Linked DNA regions of Xenopus tropicalis. The protein of the gene in region 3 binds, or shares a complex with, the protein of the main gene of each other region. Links are inferred from orthologs where the notes say so. Each region holds a gene or a part of one and is shown on either strand. Other genes may lie near its edges.

Region 1 (3,500 bases), on a different chromosome or scaffold from region 3:
AAGAAAGATAGAAAAAAAAAAAAAAAAGTGTAAGTGTAAGTGTGTGTGTGAGTGTCTGTGTGTGCTTGGGAAAGTTGTAAATAAGTGTGTATGTGTACAAAAGTGTAATAATGACAAAGATAGAAGAAAAAATTGAAAAAAAAAAAAAAAAAAATTTTTAGACAGTTGAGATCGAAATAAGCAAAATAAACAGTGGTAGAGAGTTGTAGTTCAGCTTACCCAAGGCAGGCAGGCGATCAGGGGCGACCAATCTGGCAGGAAGGCAGCAGGAAGGCAGCAGGGGAGCTCCATCAGGTCCGAAGTGCGCAGCAGGAATGAGGAGCCGACAGTAGGCGGCGCTATTTAAAGGGACAGCAGTGGACACGTCATCATCGCGTGTCCACTGCTGTCATTGGCTGGCGACGCGATCGTGGGACCGGATCGGTGAGTATGACTGTCTCTGCTCGTTGCCTAGGGGGTTGTGAAGGGTTTACAAGCGCTGCGCTGCTTTAAAAGCGAGCGCAGCGCTTGTAAACCTGATAGTGCTGTAGGACGTAGATTCTACGTCCTGTGGCACTTTGGTCCTTTGCTACCCAGGACGTAGAATCTACGTCCCATGGCACTAAAAGGGTTAAAGGGGAAGTTCACCTTTGGCAACTTTTCAATTGCTTTTTCTTCTGACTTTCCAGCTTTCAAATGGGACCCCCCGGCAGCCAAAAAAACTATTGCTCTGTGAGGCTACAGTTTATTTGTTATTGTTACTTTATATTAATTATTTTTCTATTCAGGTCATCTCCTATTCCTATATCGTTTTTTCATTCAAAGCACACCCAGGTTGCTAAGGTAATTTGGGCCCCAGCAACCAAATAGCTGCTGAAACTCCAAGCTGTAGAGCTGCTGACCAAAACCTGAAATAATTAAAAAACTACAAATGGTAGAAAATGAAGACCAATTGCAAAGTGTCTCAGAATATTACTCTCTACATCAGACTAAAAGTTAACTCGAAGGTGGATAACCCCTCTCTTAACAATCGTTCAGGAAGAACCATCTTTAAATTAATATAAGATAGCTGGGTTTAGATGCATGAGTACTTGGGGCACAAGTGAGTGGGAGCTGGGACACGGCTGTAGGAGACTCACCTACACTAGAACATGTCAGTTGTTTTCTTATATTGGCCAAGAATACATTTTTGGGTTTATATGCCCTGCCTATGAATTCTCCGTATCCCTGCCTTTTACTCCGTATGTCTTTCTATCCACTCGTCGTCACCCTTCTAGTTTTCTTAGGTTTTTTTTTTTGTGTGTCCTTCCAGGGATTTTCCAAGGACATCAAAGTTCCAAAAAGTCGTTACTTGGGGTACATCAAGGATTACGAGGGAGCCACTTTAATGGAGTGTGAACTGAACCCCAGAATACCTTATACAGAACTCTCCCACATAATCAAAAAGCAAAAGGAGGTAAATGGGCGTCATTTTGTGCTGTTTTTTGCTTTTTGTTTTTATAGTGGCAAGATGCCTAAATATATATGTTTCTGGGAATGATGGCAAAGATAGTAGTTGCTCAAACTTATACTTATTTGACCTTATAATGTCAAACATTGGCCTCTAGGGGGTCTGTTGTCATGAAAATAAGTAATATTTGCACTAAACATCCCCAGACATTGTTCTAGAGCAGGGGTGGCCAAACTTTTTGGCTCAGGGGCCACATTGACTTACCGCCGGGCCAGTGTTACGGCGTTTCTGCTCGTCAGTCCCCAGACGCCAAGTCTTGAATGATGAGACTTGCGGAGTCGGCATGCCGGATTAAACGGACCAAGGGGCCGGACGTGGCCCGCGGGCTGTAGTTTGCCCACCCCCTGTTCTAGAGACATAATTGGATTATTTAATATCCTTTTACCATAGCACGTCTCTATATGATTTCTACTCTTGGCTTTTTTTTCATCACATTCCCTCATTTTGCAGATAATAAAGAAGCTTATTGAACGCAGGCACGCTCAGATCCGCAAAGTCTATCCTGGCCTTACGTGTTTTAAAGAAGGCCTCCGACAGATCCCAGTGGAGTGCATTCCCGGAATACGTAAGTTGGTCACTGTAAAGCATCTCCAAAAACAAGTGCATAATAATAATAACGCGGAGTAAAAGGCAATAAGGATAAGTCAAATATGTATTTATATTTTTTTTGTAGGAGAGACCGGCTGGAAACCAGCATGTAAAGACAAAGGGTAAGTATTACAACATTACCCATTAACACCCTCTAGAAAGCCAGTCAAATGTGGTTTGTTTTACTATAATAATACAACACTGTATTGAGGTAATAGAAACAGGCAGTTTGCTTCATAATCAACCTTATTTCATTGTCATCTTTGAATAATAGTTTGTATTACTTAAGTACTTAAATTAGCTAAGGCTTCACTAGTGTTGTGTCTAATGCACCTCTGGATATTTAACTTTCATGTGTTTTCACTACTCAGGATAGGGGGTTTGGGTTGTTGGAGAAGGACAGTACATGTATGGGACCTGTTACCTAGATTGCTTGGGACCTGTGGTTTCTGGATAAGGGATCTTCCTGTAATTTCAATCTGCATACCTGCTAAAAAAAAAAATCATTTAAACATTAATTAAACTGGTTAGAATTGCTTAACCTCCAATTAAGTTAAATTATCTCAGTTAAAATCAAGTACAAGATATAGAGAAGAAAATTTATAACATTTTGAATTATTTGATCAAAACGGAGTCTATGGGAAAAGGCCGTCCTGTATTTTGAAGCTTTCTGGATAATGGTTTCCCAGATAACGGATCCCATACCTGTATCAGTGAATAACTGTTACCCTGGTGCATTTATACACATCTTGACAGTGCAGTAGTACTAGTGCTAATGAGCTTTGATATGTTTCAATTAATGTATACTCTCTGTGTGCTCAGGAAAGAGATTAAAGACCCAGACCAGCTGTATAACATCCTGAAGAACCTTCTAGCACAAATCAAAGTAAGGGACTGCATTTGGAATATGGTTTCTGACTATTGATCCACTTGGCAAACGATACAACACACATACTTGGCCAGATTTGGTTGGTCATCTGGCTATACAGACAAGGGCTTATTACATACTTTTGGGGGTGCCAAAATATTAGCCCCCCCCCTACCCAGTGATTGTAATCACTTACCTTATACACCGGGTTGGGAGAAAACCGCAACTGTCCAGGGTAGCTGCGAGGGAGCGATCTTCCTCCTGCCTTCTTGCTTCACTATCCTGGGCCGATGCATTCGCAGCAGAGTGAAAAAGCTGACTTTTTGGTTGAAGTTCGGCTTTTCACTCTACTTTTATTCCAAAGTTGCGCAAAGTTTCCTTCTGAAGCAACTTCGTGTGACTTCGGAAAACTGAAGCAATGCGAACTGCTTTTCACCAACAACTCCTATTGTTGCGAGTGGGAAGCCATTTCAAAGATCTATTGCGGGCGACTGAACCGCTTTGTGGGTTATTACCCTTACCATACCTGATTAAACAGCCCTAGAAACTCCCTCT
Region 2 (3,500 bases), on a different chromosome or scaffold from region 3:
ACAAGGCACTGAGATGGCGCCTACACACCAATATTACAGCTACAAATACATTTGTTGGTACAAGAATAAAAGGTTAAATGGCAGAGGGAATTATTTTCTGCGTAACAGTGTCATTTAGAAATAAAAAGTGCCCCATAAATACCATGGCAGTATCCCTTTATAAAGGGAACAGCCAGCTTTCTTCGGGGAAACGGAATCCAGTAAGGGAACAAACTGGACCCAAATAACCCAAGCCTAATGTGGCTAAAATTAAACAAACACAGAAGGACCAGTCAGCTAAGGCTAATTTTAGAACTGGAACATTTGTAACCAATTAGAGCAAGATAACTGAGAGCATTGGGGGGGGGGGGGGGCAAATACTAGTCTTCTGTGGTTTTTCATGAACAAAATAAAGTCTAATTACTATTTGTTCAGGGGTAAAAATAAAGTGCTGGCAGCTGGAGCATCAGTCACACTCACCTTCCCTTTGCTGTAATCCCACAATTTGAGTGTACTGCAAAGACAAAACAGGTAACATGATAAGGATCTCACCTTGAACAGGAGAAACGGGCAAAAAGATCTTTCTAATTCCTATTTGCCAAGATACTGTGAGAAGGGAGTGGCTATCTCTCAAAAATGGACAATGGCTTCTAAGAGGAGCATTGCAGCTCCCTGAATGTTTGATTTGTGACCAATTTCAATTTGTGCCCTATTCCTAGCAACTTTGCAATTGGCCTTCATTATTTATTTATTGTATAGTTTTTGAATTATTTGCCTCCCTTGTACATCTTCCAAACGTGGGCCACTGACCCCAGCAGAAAGGAAATTTTTGCTTCGTGAGCTTACAATTTTCTGGTTCATTTTTATTCCTTATCTTTATATTCATATCCTGTCCTATTCCTAATCCTGTCTCTCATTCAAACCACTGCCTGGTTGCTAAGGTAAACACGACCATAGCAACCAGATAGATGCTGAAATTCCAAACTGGAGAACTGCTGAACAGAGGCTAAATAACGGGAAAATTTCAACCAATTCAAAATTGTCTCAGAGTATCAATGTCTACAACACACTAAGAGCTAATTTATAGGTGAACTACCCCTTTAAACAGCACCCCTAGGGACCAATGCAATGCAGACCAATAATATTGAAGCTTTGTACCATTATTGGTACATACACGATGACCTGCAGATCCATGTACTTTTGGTATCTGTCCATCAAGAAATTTTATTTGCCGATCCCCCACGTCGGCTACATATTGATTAGCTACAGCTCTTCTTTACTTTCCGCAGTTCTAATCATTAGTGAGCTCTGCATAAACAAACTGAACACTCACCATCCGTTTGGCTATTGGGCCGATTGGGTAGAGAGCCATTACCAGTCAAGCCCATGTACGGCTGCATTTAAACAGTATTTGCCTTCAGGTTAACTTTCGTTATGTTATAGAATAGTATTTTCTTAATATGTTTTCAATTGGTCTTCATTTTATTATTTGTTATAGTTTTTGAGTTATTTGCCTTGTTCTTCTGACTCTTTCCAGCTTTCAAATGGGGGTCACAGTCAAAAAACTATTGCTCTGTGCGGCTATAATTGTGTTGTTACTTCTTATTATCATCATCATCATCTATTTAGGCCCTCCTCTATTTATATTCCTGTCGCTTTCAAACCGCTGCCTGGTTGCTAGGTTAAATTGGACCCTAGCAACCAGACAGCTGTTGAAAATCCTTTCAGTGTCGGTAATGCCTTTGCAGTGCTACTTACTTGTCTAGGGTTGCTGCTAAAATGTATTTGCCGTTGGGAGAAAACTTCACAAAAGATACTGGAGGATTATCGTCATCTAAAAAGGATGAAAAGGAGAATTACGTTTAAATATGAAACTGGACAAAAATAAATAAGGACAAAACAATAAATAAATAAGCCACGTACCAATGAGTGTTTTCAAACACTGTCCTGAGGCTGTGTCCCATATTCGGCTAAGATTAAAAGGCAACAAAACATTTACAATTGGAATAAAACACTGCAAATAGATATAAAGAATGCTGATGGTATAAAATGAAGTGCAAGCTCTGTAGGCAGGTTATTGCTGGGGTTCATGCAATTTATTAAGTTTTGAAAAAATCTGTACAGTAAATGTTCTACTAACGGCAAAGTGTAATAAGGTGGTGCCAATCACAATGATTAATTTCACTTTTGATATGTAATAGAATGGCTAATTCTAAGCAACTTTTAAATTGGTCTTTATTTTTTATACTTTTTGAATTATTTCCCTTCTCACTCTTTCCAGCTTTCAAATGGGGGTCACTGACCCCGGCCACCAAAAACCCTATTGCTCTGTGAGGCTCCAGTTTTATTGTTACTTTTTATTCCTTATCTTTCTTTTCAGCCCCTCCCCTATTCATATATCAGTCACACTTTCAAACCATTCCCTGGTTGCTAAGGTAAAGTGGACCCAAGCAACCAGATAACTGCTGAAAATCCAACTCAAAAGTGAACAACCCCTTTTGGAACGACAGCCATTAAATGTGCGAATGGCTTTATTCTTCCCACTTGTTTTACTGTGTATAAATATCGATTCTTCCTTCATATTTTTATTATGTGGTTTTTTTTTTTTTAATCATTTCACTTTTTGTTTAGCAAGACTCCAGTTTGAAACTATAGCAGTTATCTGGTTGCTAGGGTTCAAGTTACCTTAGTAACCAGGGAGGAAGATGAAGAAGAAAGGATCTGAACAGTAAAACGATAAAAATTACATTATGAACTGTAGCCTCAGAGAGCAATTGCTTTTTGGCTGCCGGGGTCAGTGACCCCCCCCCCATTTGAAAGTTGGGGGTCTTTAGAAGAAGGTAAATAATTGGCCGTTCTATAACATACTAAAAAGGTGAACCAACCCTTCAAGGCTTTTATTTTTAAAGACACCTTCCTGGTATAATGTGCCAAGTAGTTTCACCCCAAGAGAGGCAGTTGGGTGCAAGGTAGGGAGGCACCCAATCCAGGAATAGGTTCAGTATTCGGCCGAATCCACGGTCCTGGCCAAACCGATTTGGAAGGGTTAAATGTCACCACGTGAACACGGAAGTGGAAAATGTTTCGCCACGTGCGACATTTAACCCTTCTAATTAGGATTTGGTTCGGTATTCAGCCAATCCCTTACGATGGATTTGGGGGTTTGGTCGAACCCGAAAACCTGGGTTTGGTGCATCCCTAGTGCAAGGGTTTGGGGGGGGGGGGGGACAGCAAAACAAGGGTAAAAGTCGCTCACCACAAACCATCGTAGCTACTGGATACAATGAGGGAACCGTCGCGATTAAAATGCACCTGTAACGGGAGGGGCAGAGAGGTAAATATGAAAGAGCCTGACAGATGCCGATTGAAACCCTTGAGTTCTATTCCCTTGTGGCAAAGAAAAAAAAAATTCTCTCCAGACATAGAAGAGAAACGTGAGAATGTGTTTTCCCATTGGAAACAGTTTGCTGTAATGTGAAACCAAAACAGCAGAGGTGAGAGAACAGAGGGGATAGGGTGGC
Region 3 (4,195 bases):
GTATTTTGGTCTGAAATAAATAGCATTTGAGCAGAATTCTGCTTTATGGTGCTCTCCTCTATATTTGGATTGACATTTTTTAGGCTTGTGTTGCTCCCCAACTCTTTTTACATCTGACTGTGGCTCACAGGTAAAAACAAAAAGGTTGGGGATCCCTGCTCAAGATACACAAGTGCTATGGGCAAGCCAGTGATAAGAAAATAAACAAAACCAGTCAATCATAAGTAGAAACTCACAACCTGCCCAAAGGACAGTTCTTGCTCCAGTAAAGACACCCACATATTTTAAAGGGGAAGTAATCCCAGAATTGAAATGTTGCCTAGCCAACTGTCTATTAGCAGTCATTGCAATTAAAAAGCAATCAAGGTTATTCTCACTCTTACAACAATGTAGCAGAAGCCAAGCTCTCCTGCTGCGTGTATGGGCAATGCCTCAGCTGGCTTCAGATACAAAGTGTCAATAGTGAGAGCCGGCAGTGCAGGAATCAGAGAGAATGGAGCAAACCCCGCTCTCACTAGCACATACATTGCCTTAAAGCTGAATAAAATGAAAGTCCCGCCGGTGGCAGTGCCAACAGGCAGTTACAGGTTGGGCGAGTGTTGCGGAACTGCAGCTCTCACTATACAGATGTCAGGCAGGCAATGCCTATGGAGGGATTCGCTTAATCCCCTATGGGAAGGACGTTTAGTTGTAGTTCCGCACAGTCTTCCTTAGTATTACAGAGGGATCACTGTATGAATGTAAGGAATACACCGCGTCTTATGAACATTCCTACGCCGGGCCCCCGCCCAAGACCGGTTCCCTAAGCCGCCCCTGCACCGCTCCCTGCTCGACCCACGGGCTTAGCATGGCAAACACAGGCGGCCTATAGCCCGGTTCTCTATCCCGGACTGTTGTCGCTCTTTCGTGTCAATTTCTCCGTAAAACCCCCCGCCCCTCACACTCACCATCGCTCCGGTATCCCCCGATAGCGGAAGTGACAGACTCGCACATGCGCACTACCTCTCTTCCCCCTCACTGGCACAGCCAGCGGTCGGACTAAACCATCATAAACTGGGGTTGGGCGAACATTTATACTTAAACCATGTAGATTAATTTAGCCGCTTGGGCTGTGGATATACACATAAGCATATCTCAGTTCCGTTCTTGTTACATTATTATTCTCATATACGTATAAAAAGCAATACTATATGAATTTACCCGGTGTGCACCCTCCTCTTGAAAATGGTCCGGCTCGCCCCGCTTCACGCCATATTAGGGAATGTGGAATGCAGGCGGGTCAGACCAAAGTGGGGTTTAGGGGGTGTACAAACAGAACATGAGCGACCGGGAGAAATTTCTTACAAGGTATTCATGAGAGAGATTGTTATCACGACTGCTAGAGGCTTATGATACCAGATACCTGCGGATCTATCACAGCTGCACATCAATAGTAATACTACGGGAGCCCACAGGCTAAGCCTTCCCAATGCCGCCATTGCGCGCCAAGTACGATTCTTCTCTATGGTTGATTCCATCGGGGCACAAAATGGGTGCTTAAAAGAGATTGTGCCTTGTGGACGTGAACCCATTAGGCGCTTGTGGTAAGAACGTTCCCTAAGAACGGGTTATTGTGCTCAACGGCCTATTCCAGCCTTATTAGTTGTTCCCCATTTACTGACACCCCTATTTGTTTTTCCGCAGTGGTACGCTCCCGGGTGACTGACAGGCGGTGACAGTGGCGGCCTTGCGTGAGGAGCTTGGCTCTGCCCCCTACTGGCCGTTGGGAGACAAAGGAAACGAGCGCAGGAGCAGGATCCATTGAGGGGGCCAGGCCGGAGTGTGGGTACGGGCATATTGTGTGGTGTCGGTATATACCGTGCGTGGGGGCTCAGTGCTTGCGTTATATGCGGAGAGTACCTGTAACAATGCGTCATTTGGTAGCCATAGGCTACTAAATACGTTTACTCCCCTGCTGTAATAGAATAGGACTACAACTCCCAGCCGCCCCTTTCGCAAAGCGCCAGTTCTGCAGCAACTGGAGAGCAGTTACCTGTACATAAGGGGTTATTAGTAATAACCCCTACCCCAGGGCACAGGTGCATAGTGTTACTGCTCCTGCATAGGCATACAGTATACACCTGCCCTATAGCCTGTTGTGCATTGGGGGTATGGGTGCACTTATCAATAGTACTGGGGCATTGGGGTACAGTATGGCCGGCCATTACAGCTGGCTGTGCATTAGTGCTGCAGGGTATGGAGGCTGCAATATACACATGCAGTAGTGCTGCAGGGTATGGAGGCTAAAATATACACATGCATTAGTGCTGCAGGGTATGGAGGCTGCAATATACACATGCATTAGTGCTGCAGGGTATGGAGGCTGCACTATACACATGCATTAGTGCTGCAGGGTTTGGAGGCTGCAATATACACATGCATTAGTGCTGCAGGGTTTGGAGGATGCAATATACACATGCATTAGTGCTGCAGGGTTTGGAGGATGCAATATACACATGCATTAGTGCTGCAGGGTTTGGAGGCTGCAATATACACATGCATTAGTGCTGCAGGGTATGGAGGATGCAATATACACATGCATTAGTGCTGCAGGGTTTGGAGGATGCAATATACACATGCATTAGTGCTGCAGGGTTTGGAGGCTGCAGTATACACATGCATTAGTGCTGCAGGGTATGGAGGCTGCAGTATACACATGCATTAGTGCTGCAGGGTATGGAGGCTGCAATATACACATGCATTAGTGCTGCAGGGTATGGAGGCTGCAATATACACATGCATTAGTGCTGCAGGGTATGGAGGCTGCAATATACACATGCATTAGTGCTGCAGGGTATGGAGGCTGCAATGTAGACATGCATTAGTGCTGCATAGTGCTGCAGGGTATGGAGGCTGCAATGTACACATGCATTAGTGCTGCAGGGTATGGAGGCTGCAATATACACATGCATTAGTGCTGCAGGGTATGGAGGATGCAATATACACATGCATTAGTGCTGCAGGGTATGGAGGATGCAATATACACATGCATTAGTGCTGCAGGGTATGGAGGCTGCAATATACACATGCATTAGTGCTGCAGGGTATGGAGGCTGCAATATACACATGCATTAGTGCTGCAGGGTATGGAGGCTAAAATATACAAATGCATTTGTGCTGCAGGGTATGGGTACATGAAGGCTGTAATATACACATGTATTAGTGCTGCAGGGTATGAAGGCTGCAATATACAAATGCATTAGTGCTGCAGGCTATAGGTGCACAGACAGTCCTGGTATTTTGGGGTACAGAACAATATACACGTGCATTAGTGCTGCAGAGTATAGATGATATATTCATCTTAGTGTATTGGGGGTACCGCATTCACCTGCATTACAGCATTGGTGAACAGTATGCACATGTGGTATGGCTTGTTGCCTATTGGTGCTGCAGAGTATGGTTGCATACATTTGTGTTGGTGCAACATATGCATGTATTCTAGGTTTAAGAAGGGATTCGCTGTTTATTTCAGAGGGGGGATTTTTGAGCTCTTGCATTTTTGCTGGTGTATCATATTAGACCAGGGTCAGACTTGGCCCTCCATAGGGCCCCCTTTTAAAACAAAACAATGTTATAGGTGTTGTATATGGCTAGGTGGAAATAAGGGGCTGATGGGAGTTGGCCTAGGTCCAACAGTAGATTCTTCAGCGCACTAAATAGAGAAAAAGGGCTTGCACTCAAATAATGCAGAGGTTGTATTCTAAAAAAAAAATTATCTTAACCTTTTGTATTATTCTTTGTTGCAGGCCGCCAGCCTTGGCAGAATGAGCGAGTTAAAGGATTGCCCTCTCCAGTTCCATGACTTCAAATCTGTGGACCATGTCAAGTTGTGCCCCAGATACACCGCAGTTCTGTCCCGCTCCGAGGATGACGGAATCGGGATTGAGGAGCTGGATACCCTTCAGCTGGAGCTGGAAACCCTACTGTCCTCTGCAAGCAGGAGGCTCCGTGTTCTGGAAGCGGAGACCCAGGTAAAAATCAGGGGGTTAAATGTAGAGCACCCGTCCCTCAGCAGTGGCTGCCCAGTGTACTTGGCATGAAGGAATATGCCCTTGTGTAGGAGGGTTTCATGCCCAGTAGGAATGTCTATAGGTTTGAGTTGGTATAAATCTTCAGATGGCAAAATGCTGCATATGCTGCCCGTTATATTTATTGT
Region 4 (4,098 bases), on a different chromosome or scaffold from region 3:
AGCCCAGAGACACAGTTTTACTCCAAGCAGAGCCACTGGGTGGCTACTAAAGAGCCAATCACAGCCCTTATGTGGAAGCCCCAAAGAACCTTTTTCATGATCAAGAGTAAAAAAAGAATGGGGATCCCAATCTAAGGGAAGCGCTATGGTAGCTCCTCTATGACAGAAAGCTGTAACAAGTTGCAAACGGGTTCATTGTGTTCACTGTTTCCCCCGTCCCTTTGCCAGGATGACGATCGGTATGAACAAACAAGTGACGTACGGACACAACTCAAATTCTTCGAGCAGCTCGATCAGATAGAGAAGCAGAGGAAAGACGAGCAGGAGCGGGAGATTCTAATGCGGGCAGCTAAGGTCAGTGCCTTTCATTATCCAAAGTATCCAAGGCTTTATGCTCTGCGGCCGCTAGGGGGCACTGTTTTCCTATTGTACTTCTGTATGCCTCAATCATGGCTGTTTCCACTAATATGAAGAAACACGAAGGATGAAGACACACAGAGCTACTTAGTAGCAGCTACTTGTCACGACTACTAAACGCCAGAAAATCCCCTGCCATAGACAATACTGAGAATTGCCTCTGCTAAACACACATAGGGGCAATTATCAGTAAATGATCATTATTGTCTGTTTTAGTAGCTGCTACTAAGTAGCCCCTTGTGTGTTCAGCCTAATATGCAGACTGATCGGGCTCCCTGAATATCCTTATACCATAACATCACCAGGTCAGTAGAGTGTTTAACCCCTGCTTTGATATCTGGTTTATTTTCCCTTTAATCCATGGTGCAGTCACGTTTTCCTTTGACTTAATTCTTAGTACGACGTAGAGAGTAATATTCTGAGACCATTGGTCTTCATTTTTTTTATTTGTTTTTTAATGATTTCACTTTGTTTCAGTAACTGGTTGCTAGGGTCCTAATTACCTTGGCAACCAGTGTGTGGTTCGAATCAGAGACTGGTATATGGATAGAGGATAGAACCTGAATACAGAGTGGCCTCACAGAGCAATAGTTTTTTGACTGCCGGGGTCAGTGACCCCCCCCCCCCCCATTTTAAAGCTCTAGAGAGGCAGAGACAAATAATTCAAAAACGATTATAAATAAATAATGAAGACCAATGGAAAAGTTGCTGAGAATTTGGGGGTCAGTGGAATTCTGGGCTTTCAGGATTTTCCTTCAGGACTGTTTATTGGTAGAAACTGACATATTGTTCATTTTTTTGCCCCTTGCGCAGTCTCGGTCAAGGCAGGAGGATCCAGAACAGTTGCGGTTAAAACAGAAGGCGAAAGAGGTGAGTGCGTTGATTGGATATAGCCGTACCAACCGTACCCCCAAATACCGAGGGTAAGGATTAAATACATCTTCTTCTCCTTCCATAGATGCAACAGCAGGAACTGGCACAAATGAGGCAGAGAGACGCCAACTTAACAGCGCTAGCAGCTATTGGCCCTCGAAAAAAGAGGAAAGTTGAATCACCGGGCCCTGGTTCTGGTTCAGAGGTCAGTGTATATGTAATGCGCCCCCTGTTGTATATTATAAGGATATTAGCAGTCACTGAGGGGTTCTGTGCCCCCCATATAAAGGCACAAGGCTGCAGGCTGAGTTATACAGGGAACTCTGAGTATCACTCATGTATTATAAGGGATAATGTACCCCCTACTGTAAATGATAAGGATATTAGCAGTCACTGAGGGGTTCTGTGCCCCCCATATAAAGGCACAAGGCTGCAGGCTGAGTTATACAGGGAACTCTGAGTATCACTCATGTATTATAAGGGATAATGTACCCCCTACTGTAAATGATAAGGATATTAGCAGTCACTGAGGGGTTCTGTGCCCCCCATATAAAGGCACAAGGCTGCAGGCTGAGTTATACAGGGAACTCTGAGTATCACTCATGTATTATAAGGGATACTTACCGCGGCTTAACTTGCCCTTTTCTTTCTCCCGCCAGTCGTCCAGCACAAGTACCGCCACGGCCAGCAGTTCGGCGGGAGGGGGCAGCCGACAGTTTACACGACAAAGGATAACGCGGGTCAATCTCAGGGACCTCATTTTATGCTTGGAGAGCGAGCGAGAGACAAGCCATTCACTATTGCTATACAAAGCATTCCTTAAGTGAGACTCACAGAACTCCACAAAATGGGAAAGATCAAGGTATTTTTGTTCATTATCTGTCGGTTTTTATTTTTGCCCCTCAAAGAGGCGCCCCCCCCTCCCTTCTCGCCGGACACGTCTGCAGAACTTTTTATTTTTTCCTGTTCCTTCATCGTCTGTTGGAGACAATAATGGTTTGAAGATGGCGCCGCCGATGCCAACCAACCCCATTAGACCACGTTAACCCTTCGCCGACGGGGCAGGATCACAGCCGCCAACGAGGAGCGAAAAAGACTCGTTTTTGTTCTGCATCGTCTTTGTATTTTTTATTATTATTATTATTATGTGGAAAAATCCAAATCAAGGTTGAAAACTGCCTTCTGCAAAAATCCAAGCCATAGAGAGATTGCTCGTTGCCACCGTCCGAGCCCCCCCGGCCCCCCGTGCTGCACTTGTTTTCACTGATCTGTACCGAGTTATCAGGGTTTTCTTTTTATTATGTACGGTTTTATCAATCTTGTTAAAGGGCAAGTAAACCTAAACTCACTGGGGCTGTGACGCGCTGTTAGGTAAAACTCCGCCCCCTTAGGGGGTTCTTATTGCTCACCTCCTACCCCAGGCCAATGCAAATGCACCGGCCCGGGGTACTTTATACTGAATATTAATCATGTCCTCCCTTCTCATCCTGGGCCCGAGCCGAGCTTGAAAAGGGATTGAAAGACCCGAACGCGACCCCGCCCTATTTGGTGACATCAGAGGGGGGTGGGTGGGGCACGGGGACACTGTCCCACTGATGTGAGTGATGGGGGGAGCCCAGCTGCATAAGGAAAGTTCTATTCACTGTTGGGGGGTAGAATGGCAACCAATGTCAGTTTTGGGTCAGCCTGTTCGGTACCAAACCACATACTGTCAACCATTTTGGTACCTGGCAGCCATTTTGGATCCCCCGGCCGCCCTTGCTGAGTGTGAGTCTGTCCTTCCAGGTCAGAAAACATGGCGGCAGGGTCAGCTGGACCCTGGGGGAAACCCAGTGGGCCCCACCACTCCCCTCCCCTGAGAAGGGGGAGGTGCTGGTTTTGGGGGCCCCCAGGGGTAGCAGCCCCAGTCCAAGGATAAAGTACCCCAGACTGTTGTGTCTTTTTGAAGACTATTTGCCCCAGTCCAGGGCAGGAGGTGACCAGCTACTATCACTGGGGGTGCCAATCCGGTGCCCCAACCCTGCCAGTGATTTTTTTTAATTCCCCCTTTCCTTTAACCCCTTCTCTGCTTACAGCAAGGGGGGGGTTAACAACTCCCTGCATCAGATTCTTTTTGCAGATGGCAGAGACTCCGCCCCCCCCCGTCCCGTATTTATTGATTTTTATCGCTTTCACTATAACGTCACTCCCTTTGCCTTTATTTTAGCAGCATTTCTAATATTTGTTTTTTTTTGTTTCCTATATATAAATATATATATATCCAAAATAACCTCTGTTTAAACAAAAATCATTATTTTCCACCGTTAAAGAAAAAAAAAAAAGTGTTTTTAACCTGTACAGGAAGTGAGCGATTGTGTCCCCGCCCCCCCGGGGCAAAGAGAGGTTTTTATTAAAGTGTATATGGCATAAATATATATATTTTTTGCACTGTTTTAGGTTTTAAATATTTTGGGGTTTTTTTTTTTTTTCTACCCAAGACGAGTGCTCCGCCCCCTTTTTTTCTTTCTCTCTATTCGACGGCAGAACCAATAGAAGCCCCGGTGTTTCCATAGTCACTGTAGATAATTTGTAGCACCTCATTACCCACAATCCTACCATAAATTATTCTGTAAATCCATCATTTTTTGGTTTATTAACAGTATGCAAGCTCTGGGGGCAAGCCCCTCCCCCACCCTCCGTCGCCACAGCAGAAAAAAATCGCCCTTCTTTGTATCTATTTTTTTATTATAAAAAAAAAAAAATAAAAACTAAAAATAAAATATATACTAATTGGTTCTTTCTATTTTCGGAGGTTCCTGTATCCAAACT

The links. The genes of interacting proteins can lie anywhere in the genome.
Region 1: tada3 (region 3) and kat2a share a complex: the UniProt entries of both Homo sapiens proteins name them as parts of the STAGA transcription coactivator-HAT complex. The link is inferred for Xenopus tropicalis from reciprocal best matches to the Homo sapiens genes TADA3 and KAT2A.
Region 2: tada3 (region 3) and wdr5 share a complex: the UniProt entries of both Homo sapiens proteins name them as parts of the ADA2A-containing complex. The link is inferred for Xenopus tropicalis from reciprocal best matches to the Homo sapiens genes TADA3 and WDR5.
Region 4: tada3 (region 3) and taf4 share a complex: the UniProt entries of both Homo sapiens proteins name them as parts of the TFTC-HAT complex. The link is inferred for Xenopus tropicalis from reciprocal best matches to the Homo sapiens genes TADA3 and TAF4.

Annotation. Positions count from the first base shown.
Region 1 is NC_030686.2:6,944,232-6,947,731, forward strand, and holds part of kat2a (histone acetyltransferase KAT2A), read left to right. Parts: intron 1-1,291; coding exon 1,292-1,435; intron 1,436-1,939; coding exon 1,940-2,054; intron 2,055-2,162; coding exon 2,163-2,199; intron 2,200-2,899; coding exon 2,900-2,963; intron 2,964-3,500. UniProt on the Homo sapiens protein: Protein lysine acyltransferase that can act as a acetyltransferase, glutaryltransferase, succinyltransferase or malonyltransferase, depending on the context.
Region 2 is NC_030684.2:8,192,365-8,195,864, forward strand, and holds part of wdr5 (WD repeat-containing protein 5), read right to left. Parts: intron 3,292-3,500; coding exon 3,236-3,291; intron 1,950-3,235; coding exon 1,903-1,949; intron 1,814-1,902; coding exon 1,738-1,813; intron 494-1,737; coding exon 460-493; intron 1-459.
Region 3 is NC_030680.2:138,580,975-138,585,169, reverse strand, and holds the start of tada3 (transcriptional adapter 3), read left to right. Parts: upstream 1-1,395; 5' UTR 1,396-1,583; intron 1,584-1,683; 5' UTR 1,684-1,825; intron 1,826-3,785; 5' UTR 3,786-3,803; coding exon 3,804-4,010; intron 4,011-4,195. UniProt on the Homo sapiens protein: Functions as a component of the PCAF complex. The PCAF complex is capable of efficiently acetylating histones in a nucleosomal context. The PCAF complex could be considered as the human version of the yeast SAGA complex.
Region 4 is NC_030686.2:4,364,511-4,368,608, reverse strand, and holds the end of taf4 (transcription initiation factor TFIID subunit 4), read left to right. Parts: intron 1-228; coding exon 229-354; intron 355-1,230; coding exon 1,231-1,287; intron 1,288-1,375; coding exon 1,376-1,495; intron 1,496-1,949; coding exon 1,950-2,117; 3' UTR 2,118-3,598; downstream 3,599-4,098. UniProt on the Homo sapiens protein: The TFIID basal transcription factor complex plays a major role in the initiation of RNA polymerase II (Pol II)-dependent transcription.